Drosophila melanogaster: one gene and its partner. The protein of the gene in region 2 interacts with the protein of the main gene of each other region in a pairwise test. Each region holds a gene or a part of one and is shown on either strand. Other genes may lie near its edges.

Evidence for each region. The genes of interacting proteins can lie anywhere in the genome.
Region 1: the proteins of NimB4 (region 2) and CG15022 interact in a two-hybrid assay, tested with the Drosophila melanogaster proteins (one large-scale study listed by BioGRID).

The regions. Positions count from the first base shown.
Region 1 is NT_037436.4:4,458,604-4,462,010, forward strand, and holds CG15022 (uncharacterized protein), read right to left. Parts: upstream 1,715-3,407; 5' UTR 1,645-1,714; coding exon 1,642-1,644; intron 1,580-1,641; coding exon 695-1,579; 3' UTR 590-694; downstream 1-589. Other genes in the region: CG15023 (uncharacterized protein), read right to left, coding at 2,143-2,649, 2,714-2,716.
Region 2 is NT_033779.5:13,968,068-13,971,825, forward strand, and holds NimB4 (nimrod B4), read right to left. Parts: upstream 1,910-3,758; 5' UTR 1,842-1,909; coding exon 1,552-1,841; intron 1,394-1,551; coding exon 830-1,393; intron 769-829; coding exon 276-768; 3' UTR 213-275; downstream 1-212. Other genes in the region: NimB5 (nimrod B5), read left to right, coding at 2,492-2,799, 3,072-3,614, 3,674-3,758.

The DNA of each region.
Region 1 (3,407 bases), on a different chromosome or scaffold from region 2:
GCATTAGTCATCATGTACCTAAGAAATGTATAACATTATTGATACATCACTATCAGGTTTTAATTAAAATGCTTAAAGACAAAATGAAAGACAAATCAAGTGTGCTATTAAAGTAACCTAATGTTTAAACATTTAAACTTTAACCCTTTTCAAAAGAGCATACTCAATTCGTTAGGGGCTTAATTATTTATTTCTGTCTAATCTTTTCATGGCACCTTTAAAAGACTTGCCCCATCTCTGGGCAACATTGAAAGAGGTCAACTGTCGTCCCATTGCCGATGGCTGCAATTGGCGATTAGCGATTTTGGTTCGGTTTGAACCTTTCTGTAACCGACACCGATCAATCCCTATAAATATATTCAAACCAAAACTCACATCATTTTTCATCCAAAAAGACAGTAATTATCGACACTGCAGGTGATGATCGAGCTGAACTAAAGCTAAAACCGAAGCCGTTTGGCTATTTCGGTTGATTGGCCGCAATTAGATTTGGAGGTCAGATTGAAATCCACATGGATCCCTTGGGGGCTGGGTGACAGCAATTTGGGTTTGATATCTTTGACCTTGAGGATGGGGAAAGAGTGCGAGTGGTGTAATACTCCATTTTATTTTTTGTTAAAAATGCTTTTAATGTGTACAGCTTAAAACTAGATGCAGTGCTTGTGGTTTGGTTTTTTTTCGGTGGTTGATTATCCTAATGCCTGAAACGGCGAAGTGGAGGCTTGTAGTGGTAACCAGGCTCGGCGTCGTGGATTGGACTTGGTGCAGGGCCCAAGGGCAGTGCATAGGATGGAATCGGTATGTGGAAATCTACCTCAGGCTGGGGTGGCAGATATTTTTGTTCGGGCTTAGGAGGCAGATACTTCTCGACGGGCTCGGAAGGTGGCAGGTACTTAGTCTCCGGCTCGGCAGGAGGAAGATACAGCTTCTTGGGAGCCACTGGTGGGGGTGGAGGTGGTGGTGGCAGACTGGGTGCAACCTTGGGTGGCAGATACCTTGCCACTGGAGCAGGTGGCAGATACTTCACCTCGGGCGTCGGAGGAGGAAGGTACTTGGACTCTGGCGGACTGGGAGGCAGATATGTGGGCTTGGGCGCCACAACTGGAGGTGGTGGTGGAGGAGGCAGGCTGGGAGCGACCTTGGGTGGCAGATACTTGGCCACCGGTTCGGGGGGCAGGTACTTCACTTCAGGCTTTGAGGGAGGCAGATAAGTTGCCTTGGGCGGTGGAGGTGGTGGCGGTGGCAGGGAAACCTTGGGCGGCAGGTACTTCTGGCGAGGTTTCTCTGGAGGTCCATAGCTATATCCGCTAGGGATATCGAACTTGGCCTCTTGATGATGATGATGGTGGTGATCCGGCTGATAGTGCAGATCAATGTGCAGATCATGATGATCGTGTGACGAGGGAGAATGGTGGTGGGAATGGACATCATAGTGGTGGTGATCATGATCGTGATCGTGATCATGGTGGTGATGGTGATCATGGCCGTGATCGTGGTAACCTCCTCCGTACAGGTGGGACACGTCTGCCCGAATACAGATGGCAAAGCCTGCCAGAGCCAAAAGGATCAGCATGGGTTTCTGTAAAATAACCAACCTCCTGTTAGGTCATCTTTATTAGAGAATATGCCGCTACTGTTTACCATTTCCTTTAAGAGATAATCCACCGATCGAGATGATGTTGCTGCCGTTTGATGACAGCAGGTAGTAATGTCAATAACGTCGATGGTCACCGCTTTTATACAAAGATCGCGCCTTCCTCGACCGGCTGGCTATTTGGTTTTCTTCACACTTTTCTTGGTTTTCATGAACTTGAGGTCGGCCAATTATCGGCGTGTGTTATCTCCCTCTACCCCAAAACAATTAATGCGATTTCGACCAAATTAGCTCTGCACAACAAAGCAGCTCATGAATATGCAGCGGATGCGACGAAATCCCAGACAATTGACGGTGATTGACTCGGCCATCTGTACCACTTTTGTCCCATCCCAATAAATATTTGGGAGATACCGATGCTAATGGGGTTAACAAAACAGCGTTTATTGAGATGGCTTTAACCTTATATAAACCTAAGCCTAGTGGAACGATTTAAAACAAAACTAATCCGGGGAAATCTTCCATGTTCAGTTCGATCGCGATTTTGCTCAGAAGGTGAACTCTTGGGCGGGCACATCGTAGTGGTAACCCGGTTCCGGTTGTGGTGGTGGGGGTGGAAGGTACGTGGGCACTGGCGTGGGTGCAGGTGTCGTTGTGGTTGTAGTGGTGGTGGTGGTAGTGGTACGCGGTGGTGGAGGTGGGGGAGGAAGGTAAGTGGGAGCAGGAGTGGGAGCGGGAGTGGTTGTCGTGGTAGTGGTAGTAGGTGGAGGGGGAGGAAGGTAGGTAGGAGCGGGAGTAGGAGCCGGAGTGGTTGTGGTGGTAGTTGTGGTTGTGGGCGGAGGAGGAGGTAGGTAAGTGGGTACTGGTTTGGGTGGCAGATAAGTCGGTGGTGGCGGTGGTGGCTCCGTCGTCGAGGTAATCACAAATGGTATCTCCGGCTTGGGGTAGTCATAGCCATAGCCATGCTCATGATGCTCCTCCAGGAGTTCCAGCGGCAAATGCGAAACATCACCGGCTGCAAAAGCCAGCAGACAGGTAGCCAAAATGAATAGCTTCTGAAATAGGAAAGAAATCGTGAAGTTCAGATTGCTTCTCATATCTACAACTGACCACACTCACCATCTCCTTTATGATATGTCTAACACCTTGAGCTCTTAAACCACAAATGATTGAGCGTTTGCATCCACGTCGGTTTATTTATAGTCAAAATTCTAAAACAGATCGATACTGTCCATGGCGCTCTAGAGGCCAATTATTATCATTTAAATCGATATAACACCGCTAGCCCCACGGCATTCTTTGTATCGGTAAATGTATCTGTATCTGTAGCGCTCTCCGCAGCCATGTTTATATGAATGATTAGCGCCACAATAGTGCGCCGAAGTTGACAGAGGAGCAGCGTCAACATCGCCAACTTTGTTTCGGAACTATTATGCCTATATGGGGCCCTACTGAGCCGTTTTTCATCAACGTCGTCACTTGGGTTTTCATTGTTACGGTGTTAAAGGTATGACCAAACTTCCGACGGAACCTGGGGCACAAAAGCTTAGCACACAGAAAAACAGTCATAAATTCATAAAAATTCTGAGCAGATTTTGAATCAATTTGAAATAAGTAATCAGCGAGTACTTGCATTCTGATATGGGTTGCTACATATTTTAAATGTTAATTAATGAAATTCATTCATACATGAAAGGTACATGCACTTAATGTTATTTATTTTAAGCTAGTCAAGCTAAATTTTCTCTCAGTGCATCTGAAGAGGTAGTTCCGTCGCTGGAAGCGTTGTAAGCGTGCTCTGCTGGCTGTCATA
Region 2 (3,758 bases):
CAGTACCCGGTATTCGTGGGGTATGTTGACTATGCAGAAAATAAGTGATATACCAAATAATAAATACCTATTCAAATGAAACAACTTTCGAGAGGGTACCAAATCTTCGACGTACGTTTACAATTTAAGCTAGACTTGCTTCAAAAAAGCGAAATCCCAAGAGATGAAGCCACAAGATATTTCAGACACCCCTGATAAGAACACAACGTCTTGGGAAATGCATGAATATTTATTAGAGACTGCTCAGTGATGCTGGAAAAGTGAGAGCTCCGAACTCACAACCACCACATATCGCTGAGTGTGGTCAAGTTGAAGTGCCTGCCCAGCAGAAGATTGAATTCCTGGATGAGCGATGCGTTCACCTTGACGGGATTCATAGAGGCGTATGTGGTGACCGTGTCCGGCGACATGCAGCGATCGATGAATCGCGTCATGCCCACCTGGCAGCGGCATCTTCCCATGGCGTTGCACAATCCGTACTCGCAACGCTGGTAGGTGCGTTCCGGACCCGGGACTATGGCGCATCCGCACACATTCGGTGCGATGCATTTGCCGTAAAAACCACATCCACCCACGCAGACCGCCTCGCATCGCTCCCGATTCCGGACGTAGCCCTTGAAGCAGCGGCAGTTGCCCGGCGAGATGCACACCCCATTATCGCAGTTGTCCCCGCAATCCGGCAGACAGGTCGTCGTATTCTTATCGTATCGATATCCGTTCTGACACACGCACGTCGTTTTGTTTGCACAGAAGCCATTCTCGCAGGTCCTGAAAGAAATTTATTAAATTATTAAATGTAAAAGGAGAGGCGTCTAGTTCTAACACTCACATATAGCAATCGCCTTCGCAGGTGATGCCGTTCTTGCGTTTTTGGAATCCGGGGAAGCACTCGCATTCGTTGGGCCGCACGCAGTGACCGTATCCGCAGTCCGGAATACAAATCGGTTGGCATCCCAGGGCGGCGGACTCCCTCAGTCCTCGGGTATATCCCTCGGCGCAGGAGCACTTGCCCGGCTCCAAGCAGACCTCGTTGTGGCCACAGGTGGCGTTGCACTGCGGCTGGCAGAATTTGCGCGATCCGTCCAGCTCGTATCCCTTATCGCACTGGCAGGTGCCGTTCAAGTAACAGCGACCATGCGGACAGCCCAACGGACAGGTGGGCACACAATTGTTGCGGTAGTTGAGCACAAAGTCCGTGAAGCACACGCATTTGCCGCCCGCCACACAGAAGCCGTTCTCCTGGCACCGCTCACCGCAATCCGGAACGCACTGGCTCCAGTCATATTCATAGCGGCGCCAGCCCTTGCAACAAACCTCGATCACGTTCATGTAGGGATTGGTGGAGCTGTTGCCCACAATCTTCACCTCCTTGTCGTACTGAAAGAACACGGCCCTGGAGATTGGATTGGTGTATACAATGCATGTGTGCTTTTGAGATATATCAGTAAAATTAAAAGTTATAAACCATACGAGAACTTGTGCTGGTTATGGGCAAGGTCTAAAAGAGCCCAAGGATTTAATGGGCTTAGATTGTCACCGGCACACACTTACGGCACTTCCTGTCGGCACTTGTCCGGATGTTCCCCTCTCCGGGGCAGCGACAAACCGTTGGGTATTATATAGGGTTTCCGTGTGGTGGTCGAGGACGAGAGGCGTCGCTGTAGAGCCTCGTGCTCACGCAGCAGTTCCCGCTGGCGTTGCTCCGCGCGCAGGCGCAGCTGCTCGTCCTTTTGCTGCTGCAGCTGTTGCTCGTGAAGTTGCAGCTCCAGGCCGTGCAGCACGCAGAGGAACAGGACCAGGAGCACCGAGTGGAGGCACAGAGATCGCAGTATTGTTGACATCTCAGTGCTGGGCGCGGATTCCTTTGTGGCGCGCTACCGAAACGCTCAAGTCGCTATTGTTTACTGCTCCGGAGACGACGCAGTTGGGCCAGCCTCTAATCACAGCCGGAGGCAATGATAAGAGGGCTTCAGCGCTTAATTCGGATCTGGAGGGGGAGATCCAGGGCTCGCAATGCCAATGTATGTCAAGTAAGAACGAGCTAAAGATCGTCTTAAGTTTTATGTTCTTTCATTACGAATTGTAATTTCCCGGATAAATAGTGATGGGATGCAAATAAAATATTTCAGTAACCAAAAGTATCTTTTGGGTATGTAAATTAGCATATTCAAATATATTTTATTTTATTTTATTTATATTTAAATATGCTTTGGGCTCGTTCAAAATAAAATTAGAAAAAATATTTTAGAAAATTATCCAACTGAGGTATAAACAAGTCGCAACACTTAAAAATTTCGACTTACATGTATTCATAATAATAAACTCTCATAAACAAACTGAACCAAATTCCTCTCATCTTAGCCTATGCATCGAATATAGCTGCTTTTCTGATAAGACAAAAAAAATTAATTCTGTTTCAGTGGCGAAAATTAGTACAATTCTAGCTGGCAAATTGTGAACACCTAGAAACTTGAAATAAGGAGTGCTCAAGATGTGGTTGCGAGACTTGCGCATTCGTCTAAGTTTTTTCCACCTGATGGTGTGTCTGCCCAGTATTTACACAAATGTGCCAAGCTATTCGGATCGGTACAACAGAAGGCCTGTGTCCCAGGATCCAGGAATGGGAACCTATGGCCGCGGGTACATGGAAAACCGGCAGTTGTCCTATAATCGACCTGGACCAGCCAACTTCCAAGATCCCAGAAATGTGGAGTTGCAGCCGAAACGACGAGAGTATCTCATTCGATCACATGAAACGCAATCCGATAGGGGGCAACACAAATGCCGCATTTGGGTGCCGTAAGTATGTCAGATACACAGAAAACAACGTTGAAGTATATATACATTAACAAAATTTTTTTATTTTAACAATGTATATATATATATGTATGTTTTGATAATCAGAAATATATATATAAACTTTCTACTGTGAACATAATATCGCAAGCCTTATCTGTACTCCCAGAATTTGTAAAACTTTTAGTTGCCAAAATTCATAAGCATAGACTGAGAATTGGAAGCAATGTGGTGAACTTAGTTATAATATTTTTTGTTTTCCAACATTCGAGCAGCCCCGATACGGTGGAAAAGTACTCGTACCCCAGTGTCATCCAGACGGACCAGGCCAACCGGCTGTCCCTGATCGAGGTCTGCTGCACCGGATACTCGGCCAGTCGTCTGATGGGCGTAACCGTGTGCCGGGCGCAATGTGGCTGCCAGAACGGAAGCTGTAAGATTCCTGGTGAGTGCGAGTGCTATGATGGCTTTGTGCGTAACGACAACGGTGACTGTGTGTTTGCCTGCCCGCTGGGCTGCCAAAATGGTCAGTGCTATCTGGACGGCAGCTGTCAGTGTGATCCGGGCTACAAGCTGGACGAGACGCGACGCTTCTGCCGCCCGATCTGCAGCAGTGGCTGTGGCAGCAGTCCGCGGCACAACTGCACCGAACCGGAGATCTGTGGCTGCTCCAAGGGCTATCAGCTGACCGACGACGGATGCCAGCCCGTCTGCGAACCGGACTGTGGAATCGGCGGACTCTGCAAGGACAACAACCAGTGCGACTGCGCTCCTGGTTACAATCTGAGGGATGGTGTCTGCCAGGCCGATTGCTATCAGTAAGCTGAAAACTTCATGCTGGGAATACCAGACTAATGGCAATCTTTATTCGGTGCAGGAAGTGCAACAATGGCGTGTGTGTCAGCCGAAACCGATGTCTATGCGATCCGGGATATACCTACCATGAGCAATCAACCATGTGC